Linked DNA regions of Astyanax mexicanus. The protein of the gene in region 2 interacts with the protein of the main gene of each other region in a biochemical or structural test. Links are inferred from orthologs where the notes say so. Each region holds a gene or a part of one and is shown on either strand. Other genes may lie near its edges. The genes, in order: prmt6 and hmga1a.

Region 1 (7,432 bases), on a different chromosome or scaffold from region 2:
CTGGGGCAGCATTAGCATAAGACACTAACCATGCTAAGCGCTAGCTCTTTAGCTGTTCAGAGGTGAGTATTACATGCCTGTGGCCTGCTGCCAACCACTGCTGGGGCAGCATTAGCATTAGCCACTAACTTCACTAAGTGCTAGCTACAGTCAGAGGTGAGTATTATTGGGCTGTAGCCTGCTGCTAACCCTGGTTAGCACTGCTGGAGAATTATTAGCATTAGCTGCTAACTTCACTAAGTGCTAGCTACAGTCAGAGGTGAGTATTGTTGGCCTGTAGCCTGCTGCTAACCCCGGCTAGCACTGCTGGGGCAGCATTAGCCGCTAACTTCACTAAGCACTAGCTCTTTAGCTGTTCGTAAGTAAGTATTATTAGCCTGTAGCCTGCTGCTAACCATGGCAAGCACTGCTGAAGCAGCATTAGCATTAGCCGCTAACTTCACTAAGCGCTATCTCTTTTGCCATTCAGAGGTGAGTATATCGTACTGTAGTCTGCTCTGTGTTTACTGTGTTAAAACAAGCTACATGCTATGATCCACTAGCTAATATATTGCCCTGCTTACCTGAACACTCAGGGTCCTCAATGTAGCTCTGTCAGGTGGCATTTGCTAGCTCTAACAATGGCTAGTGCTAGCAGTTAGCCACTAATGCTAAAGCTGCTGCACCCAGCCTCAATGGAAATCTGGAAATCTAATCTTACTGTAAATAAACGGAAGCGCTTTATTCACCCAAATAAACAGTTTTCAGGAGGGAAATCTGTGTAGATTAACTTCCAGTGCTTGTTCGTAGCTGGGTCAGATCAAAACCAGATTGTTTTATTCCACACCCAAGTGCAATTCCTGTGTTCACACCTGCTCAATCGAACCGCACTAAGAGTACAAACCAATCAGAGTCCGTTTTAACTGGACAAAATAGTGCTGGTGTAAACAAAACACGCTACTGTATAGAAAAAATGATAGAATGTATTGAACTTCACAGTGTAAAATCTGTAATAAATTATACTTTGTAGTAAAAACTTTGTATTCCATTTTTTTATTATTTTGACAGTCTGCCAGATGCAGTGTGCTAAACCTGAGTGCTGCTGCCGCTTTTGTTGTTCTGCTGTTCAGCCAATTAAATGTGATGTTTTAATTTGTTGTTTTCATTTAGTGGAAGTCGTTCCTTGGCTTGTTAATCGTGTCTAATTCCTTTATTTGATTCAATAAACTGAACAAACACAGAATACTGCACCTACAGAACTGCTGCCAACAGTCTAATCAAATACGTCCAGCAGTGTAGCGTCTTCAGGAGGACGTCCCCTTCCCTCAGTCTGTTACATAACAGGCCTGTCCTCTCTGTAGCTCTGTAGTGACTGTGTTACTGAGTGTCCTCAGACCGTGTTGAGACACTGGAGACAGTAATGCATACTGTATCAGAGGAGCCGTGGAGCAGTCTTTACTCTCTGATACTGATTGAAGTGCTGGGAGCACCGTGTCAACATCAACCCGTGAATTAGTATTCATGGCCCGACCCACCTCGGCTCGGACCGCCCACAGGCAGAGCTGAAGCCGGGCAGCGACGCCGTCTCGTCAGATAGGAGCTAAATAACAGCGCTAGGAACAGCATGCAGTTCATTCCTGTGTTATTTGTGCGAATAACACATCAGTGTTTATATACTTTACCCAGTAATTCAGAGCTAAGAAACAAATGGTTAGAATTAGTCTATGGAGGAAAAACACCACCAGCCAATTACAATTGAGATAAGTAGGTGTTTGTTTAGAACAGTTCTGTTTACACTAGTTAAGGGTGGATTTTTACTTTCTGGACCTGGACTACCCACCTCTGTGTGTGAGTATCTATAGGTTTAAATAGGATCTCCGGTGGATTTGGTGTTTTACAGAGACTAAGACTAGGTCAGTATAGGCTGAACTGCACTTAGCAGGGCATTATTACACATGTTGTAAAAGTAACATATGCCACTGTAAAGACTGTTATTAGTGTAAAAATGTCTTTATTTTAAAACATTTCTAACTGGTGTTTGTCTCACTGCCTCCTGGTGAATATTCATGAGCAAGACCCGAAATCCTATCGTGTATATCGTAAATACGATCAGATATCTTAATTCTATTGATATTTGCATCTCGTTTTAATCATGTCTCATTATTTCATAATCATATATCATAATCATTTAATGATGTCTTAGTGTAGTTATTCTTTAAAACATATTTAAACATATATTATCTTATTATCTTAGTAATAAGAGTAAAATAAAAAATAATAAAGTAAAATAAAGTAAAATAAAATGAATAATCTGTATATTAGTGTGCAGCAACTTAATTCATTCCGTTAATTTAAGTGACTTTAAATGATTTGACTTAACAGTGATTAACTACCTAATTTAAGCACTAATATTTTTTTTTTCATTTTTTAGAATAAAGAACTATAAAACACTACATGTGGAATGTGGTAAAGACGTTTTTTGTAAAGAAGCTCATCTCCTAAAATGAGTTCTGTGGCATTTCAGACACTACAACTCCCATAATGCACTGCACCAAGCAAGGAAACAGTGGGAAACAACCCGCCCACAATGTCTGTAATTTTCTAAACACTAATATAAATCATGTGTTCTTTTATACCAGGGGTATTTAATTAGAATTCAGTTTGGTCCAGTTAGAGAAAATCTCATCAGGCCAAGGTCCGGACCGTCACCATTTTTAACTTGTGTTATAATTCAGTGTTTTATTCTGTTTACTGAAGAAGCCTATAGTAGTTCTGTCAGTGTTTTATCAACAACTGAAAGACAAAACAAATTACACATACTATTCAGTATATTTGAACAATATGTATTGTTTTAAACAGGCCTATCACAATAATTACATTATCAGCCTATCATAAAATAAATGGAAACACCCTCAATAATTTAACATATCAAGTCTAATAATGTGAATCTGTATTTTGACTTTGTTTCAAAATGTTATATTTATTCTATTTGATTTTATTTATATTAGATTCAGGCCTGCCTGTCATGATAATAGTTACATGAATGATAAATCGTACAATATATGGAGAAATGTTTGCTGAACCAGAATATCAGCTTTTTAAAAATCCTTCTCAGTAGTTTATTTTGGATTTGGGTCCGGATTGGACAACGTCTGGGTCCGGACCCGGAGCGCGGTCCACCTATTAGTGACCTCTGTTTTATACTGTCATTTTTTAGCGTTTTTATTTTTGTAGTTTTGTAGTTTAATGACTTAATGTGCTGTTATTGTTATTGTAAATATTGCTGGTCCCCCATATTTACTGAAATGTTTTTGTTTGTGAGACACGTTTTTAAACAAGTGGGGAAAAATAAGTATTATTTTTTTTTACATTTTCATACAGTTTCACAATTATTTTATAACTGTATGAACATATTTATTTTCTTCATCAGTGTATTGTTTTTTTGTCGTTCAGATTAAAAACTACACAATTTTAGGAAATGTAGTCTTTTGTATAGAAGCTTATCTTCACATGTTCGTTCTGTGGAGTTTAAGACACTACAACTCCCATAGTGCACTGCGCAAGACGGCGCTTCTTACTCGCTCAAAGAGGAAACGGTGGGAAAGTGGGGGAGGGGCAAGGGAACAACAAAACACCGCAAAACACCGCAAAACCCCGCCCACTGTTTCTATAGCAACATAAAAACAGGAGGAGATCGTTTTAATAACATCTTCTTATCTTTAAATTATAAATGATCTGTGCTTTTTTATACTGCTCGTTATTTTAGCGTCTGTCTGTAGATTTTGTCTGAATAGGCTGTTATATGGACATAAAAAATTATAATAATATTAATCTAAACAGCTATATATTTATAAAATACTGTCGGATTTATAGGCTTTGATTTGTAGTTTATGTCTGAATAGGTTATAATTATTGTTGTTGCTGCTCTTTTTACTACTTCTACTACTGTTCAAATACTGAAAATAAATGTATTGCATTTTATGTGAGATACATAAAAAATAATAAAATAATATTTAATATATCTATATTTATATTTATTAAATACTGTTCGATTTTAGGCTTTGTTTTGTAGTTTCATGTTTAAATTACTGTTGTTGTAATTGCTGCAATTATTTTTGTATATAATAAATATTACTACTATTTTTACAACTACTACTACTGCTAAAATACTGAAAATAAATATATGGACATGTATTTCTTTATATGTGAGAAACATTAAAAATATAATAATAATAATAATAATAATAATAATAATAATAATAATAATAATAATAATAATAACAATAATAATATTAATAATATACATCTATATGTATTTTTAGTAAATACTGTTCATCTTTAGGCTTTTGTTTTTGTAGTTTCATGTTTGAATATGTTACCATAGTTGTAAATATTGCTGCTGTTTTTTCTACTAAGACTATCCCATATATTACCATACTAAAAATAAATATATATATGGATATGTGAGATATATATAAAATATAATAAAATAAAATATTTTTTTTCCATTTTATACAATTTCATAATTATTTCACAAATGAAATTTAACAAATATGTTTTTCTTTATTTATTTATTTGGTTGTTTCGATTAAAAACTGCTAAATACAAATAAAAAAAGAGTATAAAAAAGGTAAAAAAGTACGAGATCTAAAAAAAAAAAACTACCACCCCCACAATGCACCGCGGAGGGGGAACCACGGAAACACGGAAGCAGCGCGCGCGGTGTGCTCGGCGCTGTGCACGCGCGCGAGGAGCGGAGATAGGAAGATGTCCCACAGCGCGGCGAAGAAGCGCCGACAAGATAACAACAGCAGCGGCGGCGGGAGCGCGCAGGACAGCCTGTACTTCCAGAGCTACGCGGATGTCAGCATCCACGAGGAGATGCTCGCGGACACGGTCCGCACGGACACGTACCGGCGCGCGATCTTCCGCTGCGCCGCGGCGCTCGCGGGGAAGGCGGTGCTGGACGTGGGCGCGGGGACCGGCGTGCTCAGCGTATTCTGCGCGCAGGCCGGCGCGCGCCGGGTGTACGCGGTGGAGGCTAGCTCTATAGCCGAGCAGGCCGCGCGCATCGTGCGTCAGAACCGCGTGGAGGACCGCGTGCAGGTGATCCGCGGCACCGTGGAGAGCGTGGAGCTTCCGGAACGCGTGGACGTCATCGTGAGTGAGTGGATGGGATACGCGCTGCTGCATGAATCAATGCTGAACTCGGTAATCACCGCGCGCGACCGCTGGCTGAAGCCTGGGGGGCTAATTCTGCCTGAGAGGGCGGAGCTATTTGTAGCGCCAATCAGCGACCTGGTAGCAGAAGAGCGTTTGAACTTCTGGGACACGGTGAAGGGACAGTATGGGGTGGACATGTCCTGCATGGCCGAATTCGCCCGGTCCTGCGTCCTTAATGGCGAAATCGCAGTGCATCCTGTGACGGTGGAGGACGTGCTGTCGCACCCGTGTCGCTTCGCCCAGCTGGACTTGCGTACGGTCACTCTGGAGGAACTGAAGAGAGTGAGCGGGTCTTTCTGTTGTCAGTGCTTCGGCTCGTCCAGCCTGAACGCCTTGTGCGTCTGGTTCACCGTCACGTTTCCCGCGGAGGACATGCCGCCGCTGGTGTTGTCCACGTCGCCGTTCAAAGCGGAGACGCACTGGAAGCAGGCCGTGCTGTACCTGGATGAACCGGTGGACGTGAGGCAGGACACGAAGGTGGAGGGGAACATTAGCATGTACCCTTCTGAGAAGAGTTCTAGATATGTGTGCATCCATGTGGACTACACTGTTGGGGAGCACAAGCTGAAGTCCAAGACTTTCTCCATACCTGATGGACATTCTGAGGATACCTGATGGACATTTGGAGGATACCTGATGGACACTCTGAGAATCAACAGTAGTAGTAGTAGGAAAGTTTGTGGTGTTGCTCTTCAAGTTGGTTCTCAACCCTGGTTCTGGAGTATACCTTGATTATACATGAAATAAACACAATAAAAAGAGTAGGGGTGGTTAATATGGCACTAAAATAATATCACAAAATTTTATGGTATTTTCGCGATAACGATACTCTTGGCGATGTGACTATACACTATAATAAAAAATCAAGTATACACTACTGCAACAGAATCAAAAATAAATGTTATTATTGCATTTGATATGATATGGCACACTCCTAACTGAGATATTTAAAAAAAAAACTACAGTATTTACAGTAACTGAAGTCAATAATTCAGAATATTACGATACTACTGATAACGCACTCCATATGCAAATATCTCCATATATTCAGAATTACAGTAAAATTAATGATACTGAACAGATATAATCTAAAGTCTCTAGTAGATATATAATATAATGGGAAATGAGAACAGTGTGATTTTTTTTCTTTTGATAAAAACAGTAAAAAAAAAAAAAAAAAAAAGTAGTACCCTGATCTGATGATAATTATATATATTTATATAATATCGTTGGCGATATTATTGCGTACGATATGGCACACTCCTAGCTAGATAGAGAGTTATAATCCCTATCTAGGCACTGGTATACTCTAGGACCATGGTTGAGAACCAATGATATTGGAGAATTATGGGAGGGGGGAGGGGTTTGGGAAGTTCTTCTCTGGTCAATGAATGAATGAATGAATGAATGAATGAAGTATTAAACGAAAAGCTTGTTAACAAAAAAAAAACACATTGCAGACTGTAATAAAATCCACCCATGTCTTTATACACACCCTGCTTAACCTCGTTTATATTATAGACCCACAGGCCTTTAACTTCCATTTAAACAACGTTTGGTTCCACAAAATAATATAAAATATCAGTCAAAAGTTTGGACACACCTTTAATATTTGTTTAATTGATTTTCTACATTGTAGATTAAGAGTAAAGACATGAAGATGATTAAGGAACACATGGAATTAGGTAGTAAACAGTAAAAAAATATATATGTATTAGTCCTTCACATTAATCCCCTGAACTCCTATAAAAATCATACAAACAGAAAATAGAAAACACAGAATGAGAAGAGGTGTGTCCAAACTTTTGACTGGTACTGTAGATTTATAAATTTGGGGAAATTTATCTGTTTTTCCTACATATCTCTATTACAAACATGGTTCTGTTTGGAATCAAATGTGGTGTTTCTATGAAAAACACTTGAAACACCATTATTTTATCTGTATTATGGTCATTGTTGGTTCAGAGGCTTCACAGAAGTACTGAATACAAAACTAGAATACCTCATCTAAACATATGAAGTTCTTAGAGATAACCAGCGTTGGTTCTACAAAGAACTATGTTTGTAATAGAGATGCTAAAGTGTTGCAAATATGAGAATATCATTGAAAAGTATCTTTATTTCAGTAATTTAGTTGAAAATGTGAAGCTCATATATTATATAGATGTATTAAACACAGAGTGATCAATTTTAAGAGTTTATTTCTTTTATTGTTGATGACTATGGCTTA
Region 2 (7,815 bases):
AATGCAGAACAGAGTCAACATAACTAATGTAAGTTGCATGAGCTCTTTCGTAAAAAAAAGGGATAAATTAAATTGTAGAGATGGCCATATCTTTAAAAGTAATGTCTGATAAAAAAATATATAATAATAAACACAAAAACATAATCATTAACTTTGTGCATTAAATGCACCGCCTAAAATGTAACACATTTACTGTAAATTTGCTGTAGGTAAAACAATTTAAGAATTTAAGGACCTTGTTAAAACCCTTTTTAATAAAATGTAATTGATTACACAAGATTACTCATTTTAATGACTCATGCATTAAATACACAAATTACTGAGTATTTATAAAACTACAGGAGCCCTAGTGCTGTAAATGTAGTACTGCAGCCTGTTACATATGTGTCACTATATCTTTCTCTATTTAGTCCAGCACATGTTTACAGGTGATGCTTGCTGGTTTTAAAACAGTTTATTTTGTATAGAAATAAACTATATCATTTTAAGATCAGTGCAACTCTAAAAGTTAAAACCTAAAAATGCTTTGTGCATTCTACTGAATGTCCTTTTACTACAAGATACGACAATTTCATATATTTCACTGTATTCATTCAAGTACGAGCTGCTATGAATTGTGTGTACTTTAAAAAGTAAGTTGAAGTACTTACTTTTTTGCCATATTGTTTAGTATTGATTCTTACCAGTAAAAAGGAAATGAGTCATGCCATTTCCTCACATGCAATGACACCTATTGTGAAGAACACTCTGTGCATTAGCTCAAAACCTCAGCATTTGCAGAGCATGTAGGTTTTACTGGTTTACCTCGTGCCCCAACTTTTAATCAAGTAGGTAGTATAATCTGTTTAACGTCTGTTTAATTCACATTTGGATACCAAGAATTGTAATACTTTAACTTGTTTGGCATAAGCATCATTCTACATCAAATTTAGCATTATAAAATGTTATTAATAACTACTGTTATTTTGTGAGAATTTCCTTTTTTGCATACGCTTGTACCACACTTAGTTATCTAGAATTAAGTATCTTGCATTACTGCACATTACCTGTGGGTGCTTCCTTGGTCTTCCACGGCCTCTCTTCTCTGCTCCATCCTTATCTTTAGGAGACATGGCGTCCTTGGCGTCACTCATGTTGACTTACTTTGGGAAAGAGAAATAAGAAGAAATCAATGCATGCACACCTTCAGTTTTTTAGTCCTGCAGCTTTAAAACTGCATGCACACTGCAGTCTAGAACCCTAAACCAAGGAAAGAAATTTAAATAGCTGGCAAGCAAAATCTCTTGTTTATGCAACTTCTCCCAAAGTGAGCAGTCTGATTACTAGATGCAAAAGCAAAATAAATAATAATAAAAAAAAAAAATCACAATTTGTGCATGCATGTAAGTAGCTACCTACACATATTTAATGTATAACAAATCATGCATCAATAAAATTATTTATTTTTCGCATGCATCAAAACCCTTCAAATCTCAATTTAATTCATACTATGCTATAGTATACTACACTAATAGTGTTAAAGCAAAACAAAAGCCTGTATAATCTAGTCTACACGTTTTAAAACAAGTTAGCTCACACTAGCTGGCTAAATCGAGGCAATGCTGATTACTAGCTACAGATACCCCTGTGGCTGCAACAGCATTGAAATTGAAAGCACAACATTTGCATGAATTTAAAAAGAAAGGAACTAATAAAAATAGCTTAAACTACATACACTCCAAAAATAAGTTTATCGTGCATCAATGAAGAGTGCTTCACGTGCTTCAAACTCTTAACTCGACACAAAAGCTAAAGAATAAGCAGGCTACAACTTCTATACACATATTTAAAATGCTTAAACTTGAAAAAAATAAAAATGCACGCACTATAGCTGGCTACATAACTACAAAATTCTCAATGAACCATGCATCGATAATACCTTATCTTACGTGCTTCAAAGCCCTTATTATCTCGTGTTAATCTCGAGAGCTACCATTGCTGGAATAAAGCTGATAACATCCCCATTTTAAGCACAAGTTAGCTACAGCCTTAGCCAATTCCAGAATCCAAAAAAAAGCAGTTTACTCGCTACGGATGCCCGCGTGGCTCCAACAGCACAAAAATAAAGCGAAATTACAACATATGCATGTATTTATATCACTACACAGACAGAATAAATAAGCAGGCGTGCATTATGAAATATTATAATAAAATAAAAAATTAAAAGCATGCACGAGAACAAAAATAAGTAAATACATGCAAATGCTTTAGTTAGTGCATAGGCGTGCGTGAATGCAAGCATGCATGTATGCATAAGCCCAGACTGGCGCCAGATTGCATGCATTTGAGCGCCAAAAACACGGTGGCGCACAAACAACAAAAGGCACCCTAAACCACCCTGTTTTTTGTTGCTTTTTTGGAAGAACGTGCGAATGCAGCACGATTAATCGATTAAATTAATTTAATCGCGCTCGAATCGACTTAAAAAGCTGGTTTAAGTGCTTTAATCGTGCTTTAACACCGTGCCAAAGGCGGTTTTTTGTATTAGCAGCAGCAGCACGTTGCATTGAACAATGAAGCACGAGCCACACACTAAAGGCTTTAGCTATAGCTCGTTATGAAGCTACTGAGCATGCGTGGTGCTAAGCTAGCGCCAAACTAGCTAGCCCTGCACGTAAATACACTCGATTTTAGACGGATTTACAGCGAATTTACTGCAAATTCACAATGAATCACGCATCAGAAAAATTGTTAACACGTTTTACAACGCGTACCTCGACTCAAACTCGAAGAAGGAGCTGAAATAAAGCAGATAATCGCCGCTAAAGTCGCTGTAAAGAACGGTCGCATTTTTTTAAAGCACGAGTTAACCTGGTTAAACCCCCCCTGTGCTTTATATGGATAGTAAATCAGAATATAAAAGGGTAAAATAAGGTTGTGAACAGGAGATAAAGCAGAATTTAGGAAGTTTAAATGAGTAAATAAAGGAAGTACCTGGTCTGGAGCTAAGCAGTGCGGCGGTGAGAAGGCTGAGGGCAGTCCCAGGCTGGGTGCGTGCTGAGCGGTGAGCCCGGTGTGCGGGAGTGAGGCGCTGCTGAAGGCCCGGCTGTCTCTCAGGGCATTTTAAACAGGCTTCCTCACGGGCCACAGCGAGGTGGGCGGGGTTATATATGGTAATTAAGCAGGGGACTATACACAAAAGATCACCTTAACATCATTTACACAATATTATTCAATATTACATAATATAAGGGTGTATTTTCAGAGTTAAGACAATTCAGAAGTGGAAAGTAACTTATTACATTTACTCATTTACTCACATTACTGTAATTGAGTAGATTTTATGAGTAATTTGTCATTTTTAAAGTAGTTCTTTTACTCAAGTACATTTTGACACAAGTAATTTACTTCGCTACATTGGAAAACTCTCCCCGTTAAACTGAGTAAAAAATAAAATGCTGGGGAAAAAAAAAAAACAAATTGTCTGAATTTAAAAAAAAAAGTTTTCCCATCAATATGTGCTTCTTTACGGCACTGCGCATGCGTCGACCAACATTTTTGTTTGGTTTTTTGTATTTTTTTATGTTTTTCATAATAATTCCTGAAGTTTTTATTGGGAACATTAAACATTAATCTGCTTGGATGTTAAAAACAAAACAAAACATGTAAATCATTTTAAAAACAGTTAAAGCATAGCAATGAAAAGTTAAACAAATAATAATGAACTGTAAATCTATAAAAATACAGTTAATAGTCACCTATATGACCATAACTTTTTAACAAGTAAAGAAAAAAATGGATCATAGAAACCTATGCCACTTGTTCTTGAAAATGTTTTGTAGGGTGGTCTGAACGAATACTGGTCCAAATTATTTAATTTAATATTTATTTAATTTATGATTTGTTGATTTTTTTTACATCAAATAAATAAAAGTAACTATGTAACTTTTACTCAAAGTACATTTTAAATTGATTATTTTTTTTACTTTTACTCGAGTAGATTTTTAGATGGGTACTTTTACTTTTACTTTTATTTTTAGCAAAGTGAAGGTACTTTTACTTAATTAGAATTTTTCAGTACTTTTTCCACCTTTTTCACAGTGATTTTTTTATTACATTTATTTATTTTCAAAATTTAGGCCTCTCTCCCAAAAAAATGGTAAATTGTGTTTGTGAAAAGTTTTTTTTTCTTTTTTATTGAAGTTTAAAAGAGTTACAGTGATAAACCGAAAAAGAATGAAAGCAGGAAAAACAACAACATATAAACAACTATCTCAAAGGCAAGTAAACATTCCAGAGATCCGCCACAAGATTTTCTCAAATTATTATTATTATTATTATTATTATTATTATTATTATTATTATTATTATTATTATTATATTTTAATATTTTTTTCAACACATTTCTTTTTTTCCTTAAATCAAATCAAATCAAATTGTAATGCTTTTAGGGATCTACCTTTTTTTTATTCAATCAGGGGCCCATTGACGTTTTAGGATCAGAGTTTATAAAGGAGTTTATAAATAAGATGGCAGTGTGATGGTCAAAAGTTAGTTATCATTGTATACCATCAGTGGTATGACAATACTATTAAACACTTATTACTCAGGTAGAAGTATATTAGTATATTCTAGGGTTTTAAAATGTTTCTGTAGAATTTGAAGTATCAACTCGAGTTTTTACTCAAGGAAAATTAAATAAAATAAAAAATAAACTGCAATAAAAAAAGAAGAAATAAAGTGGGTCAAAGGTTAGTTCCACAAAGGAAGTATTTATTTTTCATAATTATCACTGTATCAGTGGTATAAAAATGTTTTATTAAAATTACAATACTGTTAAACACTTTTGAACTCTCTAATTTTTGGCTCGATAGATAATTTGAACACAAACTTTCACTGCGTCACAAATTCTTAATGAATGGACCAAAGGTAGAAGCTGAAGCTTTACTACTAAACTACTTAAAGTATAAAAGTGGTGTCAGAGGAAAAGGAAGAAGAAGCTAAAGCATCAACTTAAGCTTTTACTCTTTAATTAAAAAGAAAAGTACTGGTTTAAAAACTAATTAAAGTATAAAAATAAAAGTAATATAAGGAAAAATGGCATTAAAAACAAAAAGAAGAAATAAACATTCTAAAAATGACAATATTATTAAACACTTTTTTGCAGTTTATTTTTGTATAACATTTACATACATTTTTAGTTTGCTAATGCTACATAATGTGAACACATATACTGCCCCTTACACTGTGTCACAATTTCCTAATAAATAGACCAAAGTTGTGAGAAGTATTTCCATTTATTACTCAGGTAGAAGTTTAAGGAAAAATGCCATTAAATGCCATTAAAAATCAAAATGAGGAAATAAACTGTGATTAAATAACAAGGAGAAAAATAATTATCATTGTATCAGTGGTATAAAAAAGTTGGTATTCCTAAAATGACAAAACTATTAAACACTTATCGCTATTATTTCTCTCTATTTACCCATTCATTACTCTGTATAGGTAGAAGTATAGATACTATGGTTTAATAAAATACTTCTGTAGCTGTTGAAGTTTCAACTCAAGCTTTTTACTCTTTAAGTAAAAGTTTAAATGTACTGATGTTAAAACTGATTTAAATATGAAAGTAAAAGTAATATAAGAGGGGAAAATGCCATTAAAAATCAAAAAGAGGAAATAAACTGATTTTTAAAAGCAAAAAAAAAAGAAACAAATGTTGGTCAAAAGTTAATTTATTATAATTATCATTGTATTAGTGGTATAATTCATTTGAATCCTTAAAATTACATTACAGGGCAAATCAATGTTTCCTTTACTACATAATTTGAACACACAAACTGTCCCTTACACTGCCTCACAATTTCTTAATGGATCAATAGCAGAGAAATAAATTCTGCACCTAACATATGAGTTTACGCATAGCGTCCATTCCCTTGCCCTATACTCTACTCAACTTAAGTTGCTATGGCTGTTTACGATCCAATCAGCAACATAATAATATCATATATACGTAAGATTTTTAGAAACGTTAAATAAGCAAAATTAAAATTTTATATATAGTCCAATATAAATTTGGGCCTTCTAGAATTATGCTATATAATAATGTATAGAAAAACATGATTCTTCGATAGAACATACTATTGCTCAAGTCTTATCCAAGATACTAGTACCTGTTTTAGTAACTGTTACTACACTCTTAACAAACAATAGCAGTGTCACAGGTTTCATGCTGTAAAATGATTAGACTTTAGCTCCTGCCACAATAAAGCTTTGTGTTTAAGTCATATATTATTCTTTTGATGTGTTCGGCACTCTGAGAGTATAAAAAAAGTGATTCAGACTTTTTATGTAACACTTTAAACTTTAATCTACTGGCATAACTCTAAACAATTTGATACTCCCTAAAACGGAACCCTGTGGAACTCCATATATAAAACCTTAAACTAAACGGTTACCTAATAGTCCTAAAAAAGCTCCTGCAGAAGGATTATTAACTCCTATCATAAAGCTACGGTTCAAGGGGTAAAGTCCATTCAGATTCAACACTCAGTGCTGTACAGATAACATAATAAACTAGTTTGTGTTCCAACAGTAAAGCAAAGCAAACTCACAAAGGTTACTCACACAAAAAGATTGTACCACTCAATTTATTACTTTCAGGAACTAAACTTTTACTTTATTTCCAAGTATTTTTAACATTTATATTAATCTGTTTATTGTTCATTGAATTACTATTCAGTCTAACAGCATAATGTGCCTAAGAATATAAGAGGAAAAGATCAAAATAAAGAGGAAATAAAGAGAAATAAGCATTAATCATCTTAAAATATCAATAAAGGTACTCAAAACCACCACTTACTGTCAGTATTTCAAATGAATGACTTTGTCTCTTAAAAAACTAAAATTATATCAATATAATTGCTTGGTTTTAGACTCACCTATCCTATATATATAAGTATTTTTATATATTCATTTATTATAATTGTGTTTTAGGTCATTTAGCTGATGCTCCATAGCGACAAGGTTATTCCTATTACAGAAATGGGAAAATGTAGTGTTAGGAGTCTTGCCCAAGGGTTCTTATTGATGTAGCACAGTGTACTAAAATGTGAAGGACATCTATTTTTATTTTAAATATATAGATTTTGTCCCTTTATCAGTGATATACTGGATGCAATAAGCAGTAAGAGAAATATCATCAAAAAGTGAAAAAGTTTTTTGGTTTCCTTTTTGTATTGGAGGTTTTTGTTAACACATTAAACTCTGTATGATGGCCCCACTTCAGTTCTTCATTTCATAATTAACATTCATTTTTATACGCCCTAAAATTGAACCCTGTGGGTCTTTTTTTATTTTAAGGGAATGGGCTTTCATTGTTTGTTTTTGCAAACAAATACAAAGGACAAAAAATATGAAGGACAATTGTTGGTTTTAAAGTATATACAGTACCAGTCAAAAGTTTGGACACACCTCTTCTTCTCATTCAATTCAGTGTTTTTTTTTTTTTTTTTCAATTTTTCGATTTTCAATTTTTTTTTAAACAAACCAGAATCTGTTTTATACTTTAAATTCTTCTAAGAATTTTAATCTCAGTATCTTCATGAGGGAGAGTCACATGGTATAGTTTTCTCAGCATCTTGAAGGAAGGAGTTCCTGGAGGTGCTGAACAATAGTTGCTGCTCCAGCTCATCCCAATTAAATCACCTCAAATCATCTAAATCTCAGTTCATCAAGTTTAGATCAGGGGATTAATGTGGAGGAATAACACTTTTTTTACTGTTTACTACATAATTCTATATGTGTCCCTTAATCGTTTTCATATATTTAATATTA

The links.
Region 1: of the proteins of hmga1a (region 2) and prmt6, one has a biochemical effect on the other in vitro, tested with the Homo sapiens proteins (2 studies listed by BioGRID, with this or other methods). The link is inferred for Astyanax mexicanus from reciprocal best matches to the Homo sapiens genes HMGA1 and PRMT6.

What each region holds. Positions count from the first base shown.
Region 1 is NC_064413.1:55,037,333-55,044,764, forward strand, and holds prmt6 (protein arginine N-methyltransferase 6), read left to right. Parts: upstream 1-4,682; 5' UTR 4,683-4,746; coding exon 4,747-5,817; 3' UTR 5,818-6,696; downstream 6,697-7,432. UniProt on the Homo sapiens protein: Arginine methyltransferase that can catalyze the formation of both omega-N monomethylarginine (MMA) and asymmetrical dimethylarginine (aDMA), with a strong preference for the formation of aDMA.
Region 2 is NC_064420.1:49,603,182-49,610,996, forward strand, and holds the start of hmga1a (high mobility group AT-hook 1a), read right to left. Parts: upstream 3,116-7,815; 5' UTR 2,974-3,115; intron 1,143-2,973; 5' UTR 1,134-1,142; coding exon 1,047-1,133; intron 1-1,046. UniProt on the Homo sapiens protein: HMG-I/Y bind preferentially to the minor groove of A+T rich regions in double-stranded DNA. It is suggested that these proteins could function in nucleosome phasing and in the 3'-end processing of mRNA transcripts.